Linked DNA regions of Arabidopsis thaliana. The protein of the gene in region 1 interacts with the protein of each later gene in a pairwise test. Each region holds a gene or a part of one and is shown in the gene's direction. Other genes may lie near its edges.

Region 1 (7,485 bases):
TTCAACATGTAATCAGGGCAAGAATCTTCCTGAATCCAGCTTGATGCCTTGCGAGAATAATACGAAGAAGTATCTTGAAGCATGAAGCTTTCAAAATCTTCTTCATACCTCTCCATCTGCCCCATTCCAATCTCTACATAGATATCTAATACGTTTTTCAGCAGGGCCCTATCAATCTGCTCGCCCTCCCGTTCTTTATCAACCTGACAGAAGAACAGGTCATGTTAGACCTTGAATCAGGCAAAAGCCAGAGTTGGATGTAACTGCACAACAATATTGACGCCATACTTACAAGAGCTATTACAGCTTGTTTGACCTTAGAATGTAGCTCATTATAAACCTGAAGCGAACAGAATCAAGGAAAAGTTAAAAATATTTCAATACAACTGAAAGCTATAAAGCCACAGGAATGAATGCCATACCAGGTCACGGAAGCATGTCAGGCCAACTTCATTCAGTGGTGGAAGTGATCTCCGAGCAATGAAGTAACGGTCAAGGTAGTAGAAGAAGCGGGATAGCCATCTGACCATTACTTTATGGTTTGACCATCTTTTAAATAGCTCCCGCAGCATAAACTCATCATGCTTCTCCCTCAACGCAGGCAAAACCTAACCACAGACAACAAGAGAGCAAACATTCAAAACCGTTTGAATCAACTTAAAACCAAGAGGGGACAGGACTTCTTGACATATGAAACCATGCACAAAAGTGGCATCTTAAAATTCAGAGGTAGTAAAAACGAGAAGTTTATAAGAAAGAAACTAAATATCAATCAGACTCACTGTTGAGTTAATATATTCCTCAAATGCTTCCCGATACTTGTCATAAAGCTGCTGTGAGTAATCATGAGGAGGTTTCTGGGTGCACATGTTGTAGATAGTCCTGAGAATCAAATAAATTCCCCATCATAAGTATCAGGACAAACAGCCAAACCGCTATATAAGGTAATAAACAAGTATAAAACCTACGTATAAAGCATCATATATTGCTCAGAGTCAAATGCTGGCTCATTCAATCCTTCCAGAATCCGTTTCAGCTTAGTAATTCCAGTCTGCATATAGTCCCATCCTTGCTCCAAGTCAATAGTCTTGCGCTCCATGTTGACAAACAACTTTTCAAGCTCTCCTCAACCTAAGTTAACCAAAGAACAAGGAGAAAACCAAAATTTAGAACAGCAGTATTAAGCAACACAATGAAATGACTGAAGCGAGAGAGTCAACAATATTTATCATTCTTCAGAGGTTATAATAACACGTTAACACCCACATTATCGAATGCGAAACGAGTATTATCACCCAAATCAAACCCAAACTATCAGATTGTGCGCAAACGAGGACATAAGCATCAGAATATACTCGAGAAACAATCAATCCATGAGATAAACACGAAATTACACAGTAGAAACGCAATCCAGAGACTCCGACGTAACCCTAACAATCTCGATCCCACAAAAATTCAAATAAAAACCTAGAAAGACGAACAATCAACAGAATGATAAAAAAATCAACTGTCGTATGGAACAAAACAAGCGAGAATCCGACAGAAATAGTGATACCTCGAGATCTTAAACCCTAATAATCAGAAAATCGCGTCGCCGTACCCCAAACAGACCCTGACGATTACCGATTCCCGATTACACAGGATCGGCGAGAGCTGCTGCGATCGAAAAAGAAGCGAGAGAGAGAGAGAATCAAAACCCTAAGAATCGTTCAGGAAAAAAGCGTAAAATAGAGAGAAAGAGAGACGAGACCTATGAGAAGGGCGGTGAAAAGATATCTCAGGAAACAAACTCGTTCTCTTCTATTCTATTATTTTCAGGTCTTATAGATTTAATTATTTTTATTTTATGTCAACTAATATATTAGTATAATATTAAACAAATTTAATTTCTTACCTTTTCAGAGATCTACATCAAGACGCTGCGTTTTATAATTTTTCTTTGTAAAGTAACTTATTTACTTTTATGCCCCTTTATTTTGCCTTCCTTACTCAAACCCTAACCCGAATCGGCTTTTTGACAATCCGAAATTAGGTAACCATGTTCATTGAATTTATCGTTTCAACACATTCGAATCACTGAGTCCTACGTTTCAGTTTAATTCCCTGATGCACATTTTGAATTCGGTTTGCGTATTGGTCTTCGAGTTTTCCGTCGGCGGCCATGGACGCGTTCAAGGAGGAGATAGAAATCGGGAGCTCGGTGGAGTCTTTAATGGAGCTATTGGATTCGCAGAAGGTGCTTTTTCATAGCCAGATCGATCAGCTCCAAGATGTCGTCGTTGCGCAATGCAAACTTACCGGCGTTAATCCCCTTGCGCAAGAAATGGTGGGTTATTGTTTCTATGTTTTTTGGTATCTAAAGTTCGTGTTTTATTGGGGTATGGTGATATGGGCAAAGCTGAGAGGGACAGGTCATTCGGATTTTGGAATAAATTCTTTGAAGGGTATTGAGTCTAGCAAAAATTAGAGGTGTTTTTGGTATAAATTCATATAGCTCGACCTCTCCGTTTCTTCTGTGAACTGTAATGGTGATGCTTCAACTGTTTATATGTCATTTCTCTGATCAAGTAATCATCTCTGTTAAAGACATTAATCTGTTTAATTTTTTTGTTGTTTCAGGCTGCTGGTGCTTTGTCCATTAAAATTGGTGAGTCATCTTAGGATTCGTGAGATCTTTTGGCATAATTACGTATATCACAGAGAATGTTTCAATTCATTGTTGCTCTCTAGGTTCATTAAAGGCATACCCAACTTTTACGTGCTCGATGCCTAGTATCTGATGAATTTGTAAATATTTCAGGAAAGCGGCCAAGAGACTTGTTGAATCCTAAGGCTGTTAAGTATCTACAAGCAGTTTTCGCAATTAAAGATGCTATTAGTAAGAGGGAATCTCGGGAGATAAGTGCTTTATTTGGCATCACAGTCGCCCAGGTATTGTTCTTCTACATGATATGTACTCTTTTTTGCCATGCTTTTAGAATTCCATGTCAGTTTAGATCTGTCATGTTGAGGTACTCATGAGACTTTGGTTTGTCTCTTTATTATTTTCTTCAATGGCAGGTTCGAGAATTTTTTGTTACTCAAAAGACAAGAGTGAGGAAACAGGTGAGGCTTTCAAGGGAGAAAGTAGTTATGTCCAATACGCATGCTTTACAAGATGATGGTGTTCCGGAAAATAACAATGCCACAAATCATGTTGAACCCGTTCCCTTGAACTCTATACATCCGGAGGCATGTTCTATAAGCTGGGGTGAAGGTGAAACAGTGGCACTTATTCCACCTGAAGATATTCCACCTGACATCAGCGATTCAGACAAATACTTTGTTGAGAATATATTTTCTCTGCTGCGTAAAGAGGAAACATTTTCAGGCCAGGTGAAACTAATGGAGTGGATCATGCAGATACAAGATGCTTCTGTGCTGATCTGGTACTAGTTGGGGGTTCTCTTTCACCCACTGTCTTATTTTATTTTATTGTTATTATATTCCCGTCTTGACAGTCATTTTCTATATGTGCCACAGGTTTTTATCAAAAGGAGGGGTTTTGATACTTACAACATGGTTAAGTCAAGCTGCTAGTGAAGAGCAAACAAGTGTCTTACTTCTTATCCTGAAGGTACGAGATTAATTTACTTGCAGCTGGATGGCTGTAAAAATATGCAGATTGTTTTATTATGGATAATTGACATTTAACACGCAGGTTCTTTGTCATTTACCTCTCCACAAAGCATCTCCTGAAAATATGTCTGCCATATTACAAAGCGTTAATGGACTTCGTTTCTATAGGATATCAGGTGTAATTTCTGAAAAACCTAAATGCTGCGTAGCTTTCATCAATGCCAAAGTTCTTGTTGTGATTTATTCGATTTCATCATCTGATTTGAAGATCAGACATATCAAACAGGGCAAAAGGTTTGTTATCAAGGTGGACCAAGTTATTTGCGAAAATCCAAGCTATGAAGAAACAAAATCGTAACAGTTCGCAAATTGATTCGCAGAGTCAATTGCTTCTGAAACAGAGGCAAGTTTTGGTTTATGTGTCGAATAATACTTATTTTACCTCTCATTTTGTTGTTTAGTGACATTTTACTCATAGACTTCTGTCTTGTTATGCAGTATTGCTGAAATCATGGGTGATAGTAGCAATCCTGTAAGTGGTGCAAAACATGAATTTATTTCTATTACGTGCATCAGTTCCTTAAAACCGTTTTTCGTGTCGTAACAGGAAGATATTCTTAGTCTCTCAAATGGAAAGTCAGAGAATGTCAGGTATCAGTTTGATTGTTAAATTCCATCTAGAACAGGTTCCCTTTTGATAGTTAGGTGGTTTCATAATTACTAGTTATCTTCTGGTACAGGAGGATTGAATCGTCACAGGGTCCAAAACTGTTGCTTACTTCTGCAGATGATTCCACCAAGAAACACATGCTTGGTTCAAATCCATCGTGTATCCTTTCGTTTGAGCTCTTTTATTAAAAAGCACCAGTTGATTTACATTTTCTCAATGCATTGGATAAGTTAACGTATTGAACTTGTTGGCTACTTCTGTTATTTAGTCGGTATTTTACATGTGAAACCTGCTATGTCAAGAGAGCAACCAAATATTCCACATCATGTTATAGTCCTTTTCCTAGCTCAGGATAATCCTTCACTTCAAAGTTAGTTTCCTTAGCTTTCAGCAGATAACAAAGAACGCAGGAAAGTACAGATGGTGGAACAACCAGGCCAAAAAGCTGCTGGAAAGAGTCCGCAGACAGTAAGAATAGGAACTTCAGGTCGAAGCCGCCCAATGTCTGCTGATGATATTCAGAAAGCAAAGATGCGTGCCCTTTATATGCAGAGCAAGAACAGTAAAAAGGATCCTTTACCAAGTGCCATTGGTGATTCGAAAATCGTTGCTCCTGAGAAGCCCTTGGCTCTTCATTCAGCCAAGGATTCTCCACCTATTCAGAACAATGAAGCTAAGACTGAAGACACACCTGTACTCTCGACTGTTCAGCCCGTCAATGGATTTTCAACTATTCAGCCCGTCAATGGACCTTCAGCTGTTCAGCCCGTCAATGGACCTTTGGCTGTTCAGCCTGTCAATGGACCTTCGGCTCTTCAGCCCGTCAATGGACCTTCGGCCGTAATTGTCCCGGTACAAGCTGATGAAATTAAAAAACCTTCAACACCTCCTAAAAGCATTTCTAGTAAGGTGGGAGTTATGATGAAAATGAGTTCACAAACTATTCTCAAGAATTGCAAGAGAAAACAGATTGATTGGCATGTACCACCAGGTAATATCATTCGTTGGATTTATATCTCGTTGGCCACTTATTGAATAAGCTGAATGTGACTCTTTAGGGTCTTCTTTGGTTCACTTCTATTTTGGTGGTTAGTTAGGACTCATTCTAATGCCTAGTTTTCTTCAGGAATGGAACTTGACGAACTCTGGAGAGTAGCCGCTGGTGGTAATAGCAAGGAGGCTGATGTTCAGAGAAACAGAAACCGGCGAGAAAGAGAAACAACATATCAGTCTCTTCAAACTATACCGTTGAACCCTAAAGAACCATGGGATAGGGAAATGGACTATGATGACAGTTTGACCCCTGAAATTCCATCTCAACAGCCACCAGAAGAAAGTTTAACGGAACCACAGGATTCACTTGATGAACGAAGAATTGCTGCTGGTGCTGCCACAACCTCTTCATCTCTAAGCAGTCCTGAACCTGATCTCGAGTTATTAGCTGCGTTACTTAAGAACCCAGATCTTGTTTATGCACTAACTTCGGGAAAACCCAGTAATTTAGCCGGCCAAGATATGGTAAAACTGCTTGATGTGATTAAGACTGGTGCACCAAACTCAAGCAGTAGCTCAAATAAACAGGTTGAAGAAAGGGTCGAAGTTTCCCTTCCATCTCCCACTCCATCAACTAATCCTGGAATGGTGCGTTACTTGAAACCTATTCACCCCAAATTCCTCGGACATATCCAAAACCCTATTAATAGATCATGTTGCCAAATTGAATCTCACGACATATAGAAAAAAGGAAAGAACTACAACAGGCTCTAGCTAACACCAAACTGGATTATGAATTCCAGCTGTTAGATCTAACCTGATGAGTACAATGCCCCCATTAGAAGATGTTAATGTCTGTTTCTTATTCTCTTACTGAGTTAAGTGTATTGTTCCAATTTTACAGAGTGGATGGGGACAAGAAGGGATTCGGAATCCATTTTCAAGGCAAAACCAAGTTGGTACTGCAGTTGCTAGATCGGGTACACAGCTTCGTGTTGGTTCAATGCAATGGCATCAAACAAATGAACAATCAATCCCACGACATGCTCCATCAGCATACAGTAACTCGATCACATTGGCTCACACAGAAAGAGAACAGCAACAATATATGCAACCAAAACTTCATCACAATTTACATTTTCAACAACAACAACAACAACCAATCTCAACAACCTCGTATGCAGTTAGGGAACCAGTAGGACAAATGGGAACAGGTACATCGAGTTCATGGAGGAGTCAGCAGAGTCAGAACAGTTACTACTCACATCAAGAAAACGAGATTGCATCGGCTTCACAAGTTACTTCATACCAAGGGAATAGCCAGTACATGAGTAGCAATCCAGGATATGAATCATGGAGTCCTGATAATAGCCCAAGTAGGAACCAGCTTAACATGAGGGGACAACAACAACAAGCATCAAGGAAACATGATTCTTCTACTCATCCATATTGGAACCAAAACAAAAGATGGCGTTAAACCATATATAAGACTATGGTTCTTTGGTCCTCAATATTTGCTTGTCATGGTTGAATTAGCATTATACTCTGTTCAGACACAGATTTTCATTTTTAACTCACAACAGATTCATCAGAGATAATAAACTAAAAGAAAGAATGAATGGATAAAGTTATTACTGTCTCAATTGGCTTCAAGGCTTTTCAAAAACAAGTCTTGTCTTCATCATTATTCGACTAATTCCAAATCTGATTCAATTTAGTAACAGTAACACTGGCTAAACTGGACTGCTTCGGTAATTGGAGATTTTGGTATACAATATCCATTTCTGTGAAGATTGATAGAATGTGGATACTGTTCTTATTCGTACACAATTTTTGTTTACAAAGGGAACACTATATACTGTTCCTATTGGTACTCTCAGTTTAAACCGATATCTTAACCGGTTGGGATGGATAACCGGGTTTACTTTTGATAACTAAAAGAACCCAGCATATAGTTTAAGGCCACAATCTCAACTTGCAAATACAGAGTTAACAGCCGTTTAATTATCGTTCTTATGATTTGTTCTTTGTTAAATGATAGGTCAAAAATTATTTATGTCTTTTCTAATTTCATAACTGTGAATGTTTATTGAATCCACATTACTCGTCACCGAACTAAGTAAGCAGTCTCTAAATTAAGACGGTGATAGACAGTGCTCTTCATAAATCGTTCATAAGTCGTTCAAACTTGTATTAGCCAAATC
Region 2 (5,869 bases), on another chromosome or scaffold:
TGGATTTTGCTTTATCCACAAGGTATCACACTTTGAAATAACTAAAATAAAAAATATGAATCAAGAAAATCAATAAGCCGCTACATGTCACTTCCAAAATTATGAAATATGAGATTCGAATCTAAGAGGAGTCTTAAACTGTTAAACAGAGACGTGTTTACAGTCAAGAGAAATTTATAACATGGGACAAATTTTATTTTATTTTATTTAATAGCGTTACAAATTTACAATGATCATATTACATAAGGAGGATACAAAAGTAGAAGAAGAGCTAGTTTAAAAGTCCCAAGAGTCCAACACTGATTCATGACTCATCGTCTCTTCTATTTCTGCGCTTCCACTATACAAATTAGAACCATCGATTATTTTAACCTTTAGTTTTTCCAAATAATCTCTTGAGTTTAATTTAAAAAATAATATTTTCAGGACTATATGTATACCTAAACAGTGACAATGATGTTTCTAAGATTTAAAACACTTTATTACCGAAATATATCTCAAAATTTTACTATTTCAAAACGTTATGTTGCTATTTTATTTTTCACCACATTTTCGAAACATTAGCATACCGTTCAATCATTTGAACATTCCATTGTTAATCTATTATTATTATTACACTAGTCAAACTTACTTCAAATTTATTTATACAAAGGGGAATATATTTTATATAGTTAGTAAAAATCTCAATAATCATTAAAATAGATTTTCTTTGACATATTTCCAAAATTGTTAGATTGTTTGTTTGTTTTTACCTTCTGAAAAATGGTTACCTAATGTACGACGAGGTTTGCCGGGACATCGACGGTAACAATTCTGAAGGCACGTGATCGGAATTCTTCCTGTGGTGGCACAACCTAGAATGCAATCTTCATGGCATTGAGCTTTCGTCTCTCCATTGACATTTTCCATTGCTATAACCATTGTCACCACAAACACCATTATAATCATTGAATTCCATTTAGCACCCATATCTTTAACTTTTTTGTTGTTGCAAGTGTTTCATGTACTTAAGAAATAATGAATAGCTATCCTCTATTTATAATCTTTTCTAATAGTTATCTAATTCTTAGCTCTTATCGTCTCTTCTTCTTATTTGTTATAGGAATTGCTCTTCTTTTTTTTTCCTGGTCAAAGTTTCTTTGTAATAGAGACTAGTTACTTTTTTGGTTAATCTTCTTCTGTTTTTTTCTCTATTTATAATCTTTTCTAATAGTTATGTAATTCTTAGCTCTTATAGTCTCTTCTTCTTATCTGTTACATGGATTCCTTTTTTCTGGTCAAAGTTTCTTTGTAAGAGAGATTACTTACTTTGTTGGTTAATCTTCTTCTGTTTTCTCACAGTTTATTTTAAGTTAATTTGAGATTAAGTTAATTTGAGATTTCATTGGACAAAGAAAATTAACTCTTGAAAGAATAAAAAATTATGTCAGAAGTGGGGTTTGAACCCACACCCTCTTACGAGGACCAAAACTTGAGTCTAAGGCCTTAGAGCATCCACATTGGTCACTTATATGTAGATGTCTTTAAATATAAAACTATAAATAATAATAATAAAAAAATTATGAATGTTTTTAGTTTGAGATTTGTGTTTCTGTAGAGACACTTTAAACACAACAAAAGTGAAATGTCTTTAATTTTATTATTTATTTATACTAAAAACATCTATAAAAAGTTGTCTAATGAGGTTGCTCTTAGACCACTTGACCATCCTAACGGATAACATAACCAATACTAATAGTATCATTATATAACTTACTAAGCATTTTGGAAAAATATATAATTAAACAAGAGTTATGGGTTCTTTACGAAATATTACACAAGAAAGTACCTTTTCTTATAAATACAAGATAGTAACCATTAGATAAAGTAAAAATAAATAAAAAACAGAGAATCTGAAGATCGTAGAAGAAATCGAGAAAACGCTTTGTACCAATTAGAAACCCTAGCGAGCGGAGGAAGGAGACAAAGAACGAGACTTTTGAGAGATTGGAGATTTCAATTTTGAGATCAAATCTTGAAATCAACAAATAGGAGAAAGATTTAGTGATGGGTAAGAAGAAGAAGAGAGCTACAGAGAAGGTGTGGTGTTATTACTGCGATAGAGAGTTTGATGATGAGAAGATTCTTGTGCAGCATCAGAAAGCTAAGCACTTTAAGTGTCATGTCTGTCATAAGAAGCTTTCTACAGCTAGTGGCATGGTGATTCATGTTCTTCAGGTTCATAAAGAGAATGTTACAAAGTATGTGCCTTTTCTTTTTACCCTTTCCCTATGGCTCTTTTTGTTGTGTTAGGTTGATTTGGAATATTAGGGTTGTTGCCTCTATGATCTTTGTTCAAGTTCTGATTTTTTTTTTGCTCTTGTTGTGTGTGATTGTCGTTTGATTTCTGTTAGATTGCGCTAATTGTGACTGTTGTGTTGTGGTTTGAATCGGTTGATTGTGTATGTTTGCTGGAATTTGAATCGTTTTTTTGGATTATCTCTTGAATGGGTTTGGTTAATTTGTATATGTCTGGTCATAAACCCTAATTTCTGATTGCAATTTTTGTAAAGAAACAGTCTTTTGCTTTTGCTTTTGCTTGATAGGTTTTTCTTGGAATTTGTGGTACTGTTCAATGTGTTTGCCTGTTGAATTTGGAATTTGATTCCATGACACTACTAACTTTGAAATTATCTACAATTTTCACACCAGAGTTCCTAATGCTAAAGACGGTCGAGATTCAACTGATATTGAAATATATGGAATGCAAGGAATTCCACCCCATGTCTTGACTGCTCATTATGGAGAAGAAGGTATGCATTTGAGATAGTGAGAGTACTGTTTAGATTATGAGCAATTGATTTAGAGAAGTAAGGCGATAAATTTGTATGTCTCTTCATCAAGTGTTGTAGATCTATTGCATCTAGTGGTCATGAATTCGTTTTGATTTTGCATGCGGCTTTTTGCCTTATCAAAGTTATTATATATTATTGTTATGTTTGCTTGTTTCATATGGTACCTTTTGAACTGAAGTCATGTTTTCTGCAGAGGATGAGCCTCCAGCCAAAGTTGCAAAAGTTGAGATTCCTTCTGCCCCTCTTGGTGGTGTAGTTCCTAGACCATATGGAATGGTATATCCGCCTCAACAAGTACCTGGTGCTGTACCTGCACGACCAATGTATGTACTAATTATACTATACTCTCTCTATGGCCGTTACTTGTTGAATTCTTAGATGTTGTCTCTGTTTTTAAAAATCCGATCCATGCTAAATGATGGGGAACTTTTTTTCTTTTAGTTCTCTTGATGCAAAAGGTTCTTGGTTTCTTTAGTTTGTCTCTGTCCTAGAACTTTTCTACTTTTGTTCTTCTATAAGACCACTATAACACCCGTAGTAAACATTTTTTGAAATAGATCGTTATCTAAGATATTGTTGCACTTAACCAACTATGACCCATAAGGTTCTTAGTTTCCCTAGCTTGTTCTCGTGATTTTTCAGGATAGAACTTTGTCCTAGAACCATTCTTTTGCTCCTCTTCAAGACCACAATAACACCTGTAGTAAACAGTTTTTTGAAATAGTTCATGATCTTAGATATTGTAATATGTATGGCTATTGACCATGATAAAATATTTCGTGTTAGCAGGTATTATCCGGGTCCTCCTATGCGTCATCCTGCTCCTGTATGGCAAATGCCACCTCCTCGTCCGCAACAATGGTATCCTCAAAATCCAGCTCTTTCTGTACCTCCAGCTGCCCATTTAGGGTATCGACCACAACCACTTTTTCCTGTTCAAAATATGGGGATGACTCCAACTCCAACCTCAGCTCCTGCCATACAACCATCACCAGTCACTGGAGTAACTCCTCCTGGAATTCCTACATCATCACCTGCAATGCCAGTTCCTCAACCTCTGTTCCCTGTTGTGAATAACAGCATTCCTTCTCAAGCTCCACCATTTTCTGCTCCTCTGCCTGTTGGTGGGGCTCAGCAACCATCTCATGCAGATGCTTTAGGATCAGCAGATGCTTATCCGCCTAACAATTCTATTCCAGGTTCAATCCCAAGTTCGTAGAATCATTGACTTACATTTGGTTTAGCTGTTTTGTATCAAATTGTAATATCTTTTTCATGTTTTGTTGCCGTAGGTGGGACTAATGCTCATTCTTATGCCTCTGGCCCAAACACTAGCGGTCCTTCAATTGGTCCACCTCCTGTAATTGCAAACAAAGCTCCTAGCAATCAGCCTAATGAGGTCTATCTTGTATGGGATGATGAAGCGATGTCTATGGTTAGTTTATTCCTAATTTCTTATGCATCATGTTGGAATGGTTACAATTGGAAAAGTTTCGAGTAATGAACCATTTGGTTTTCCAATCTGACGCAATGTGTCTGTATCTGCAGGAGGAAAGAAGAATGTCCTTACCAAAATACAAAGTGCACGATGAAACCAGCCAGGTAAGTTCTGATTTACCCTTTTTAAAGTTAAGAAGAGTTTGCTTTTGCAAGTCTAACCCATTCGGTAGGCTTTATTTATACATTTCTGTTCCAGATCCTATTGTTTCTGTGCTAAGAGGTACCACCGTATTATTCAGTTTATAATTTCTTCCCTTAGAATATGATAAGAAGGACTTAGGCAAGAAACTTGAGCATTTTGAATCAATGTTCGAAAGGTATCATTTGTAGCTTGCAATAGTAGGTAGTGAGAAACATAGCGTTTGTATCTGTTTGTTTTTCATTATATTTCCTGTCTATTGTATTGTATTAAAAATGTGGTGATTGGTTCCACAAGATCATACTCTACAGGTTTGGTTTCAAACCCAGGTCAGCTCTTTTTATATTCTTAACTCTGCAAAGTTTGGTACCTTTGCACAATCTCACTGCCTTGGGGAACCAAAACAATACGCACTTAACTCTTTCAAAATAAAGCATCCAACTTCTTAACTCAACACCAAGTTTGTTTCTTTTGGTTTGCAGATGAACTCGATAAATGCAGCGATAGACAGACGAATCTCAGAGAGTAGGCTTGCTGGGCGGATGGCGTTTTAGAATTTGGCACCAAACCAAACCAGCGTCAAAGAAAAGGCGATATGGATGAAGGCTTTGTTACAACAACAAGTCTTCACTCACTTTTGTTCAGATACTGAATTTATGATCTGATTTTAAGTTATTAACTTTCCATCTGTTGTATTCTTTAGCCAGGTGAGTTAGTTTACCATTACATTGTTTAGGGATCTCAGAGATGTTTTTTCTCAGAAGTTTAGTCCTTTTTTTTTTTGGTCGTTGGAGACTTGGAGGAAGAACTTTGTCTCCTTTTCTTCTGAATTGATCAAAGTATTATATTATACAGATTCACCCAAAATGTTTGCACCATGTTGTTCAATATTTTGCCAAAACAAAATTGACTAATATTCCTTCCATTAACTGTATATTCAAACTCCAATTGATACGATTAGTATGAATTTTTGTTGTATTGCTACTTTGCTAGTAGTAATTATATCGAATACAAAGTTAGGGACTACGTTGGATTTGTCAAAAAGTGAGGGGCCTATCTGTAATATTGAGTTACTTTGTCACCACTTCCCCAAAACATCAAAACCTCTAAAACCCTCGGAAGCCTCTTCTGTTACATTTCGTTCAAATCTGTACTTCTCCGAGATCGCTACTTCGCCATTGTTACAAAAATGAAAGCTTTTAGATCTCTACGTATACTAATTTCCATCTCACGAACGACGACGAAGACAACACCTCGTAATCCCCATCAAGCACAAAACTTTCTCCGCCGATTTTACTCAGCGCAGCCGAATCTAGACGAACCCACTTCCATCAATGAAGACGGATCAAGCAGCGACTCTGTTTTCGATAGTAGTCAATACCCAATCGACGATTCC

The links. The genes of interacting proteins can lie anywhere in the genome.
Region 2: the proteins of LD (region 1) and SUF4 interact in binary tests that used the Arabidopsis thaliana proteins (3 or more experiments, as listed by UniProt).

The regions. Positions count from the first base shown.
Region 1 is NC_003075.7:1,122,929-1,130,413, reverse strand, and holds LD (Homeodomain-like superfamily protein), read left to right. Parts: upstream 1-1,923; 5' UTR 1,924-2,161; coding exon 2,162-2,326; intron 2,327-2,619; coding exon 2,620-2,647; intron 2,648-2,800; coding exon 2,801-2,931; intron 2,932-3,060; coding exon 3,061-3,428; intron 3,429-3,522; coding exon 3,523-3,616; intron 3,617-3,700; coding exon 3,701-3,794; intron 3,795-3,891; coding exon 3,892-4,021; intron 4,022-4,116; coding exon 4,117-4,150; intron 4,151-4,225; coding exon 4,226-4,269; intron 4,270-4,358; coding exon 4,359-4,447; intron 4,448-4,682; coding exon 4,683-5,279; intron 5,280-5,414; coding exon 5,415-5,929; intron 5,930-6,185; coding exon 6,186-6,758; 3' UTR 6,759-6,939; downstream 6,940-7,485. Other genes in the region: CUL1 (cullin 1), read right to left, coding at 1-203, 293-340, 423-608, 783-882, 969-1,099. UniProt on the Arabidopsis thaliana protein: Seems to play a role in the regulation of flowering time in the autonomous flowering pathway by repressing FLOWERING LOCUS C expression.
Region 2 is NC_003070.9:11,039,771-11,045,639, reverse strand, and holds SUF4 (zinc finger (C2H2 type) family protein), read left to right. Parts: upstream 1-1,866; 5' UTR 1,867-2,046; coding exon 2,047-2,240; coding exon of another isoform or gene 2,241-2,244; intron 2,245-2,691; coding exon 2,692-2,792; intron 2,793-3,027; coding exon 3,028-3,157; intron 3,158-3,623; coding exon 3,624-4,033; intron 4,034-4,126; coding exon 4,127-4,269; intron 4,270-4,382; coding exon 4,383-4,580; 3' UTR 4,581-4,955; coding exon of another isoform or gene 4,956-5,027; 3' UTR 5,028-5,365; downstream 5,366-5,869. Other genes in the region: AT1G30972 (Plant thionin family protein), read right to left, coding at 730-969; AT1G30960 (GTP-binding family protein), read left to right, coding at 5,663-5,869. UniProt on the Arabidopsis thaliana protein: Sequence-specific DNA binding factor that recognizes the 5'-CCAAATTTTAAGTTT-3' sequence. Recruits the FRI-C complex to the FLC promoter. Required for FRI-mediated FLC activation, but has no effect on the expression of MAF1, MAF2, MAF3, MAF5, UFC and CO.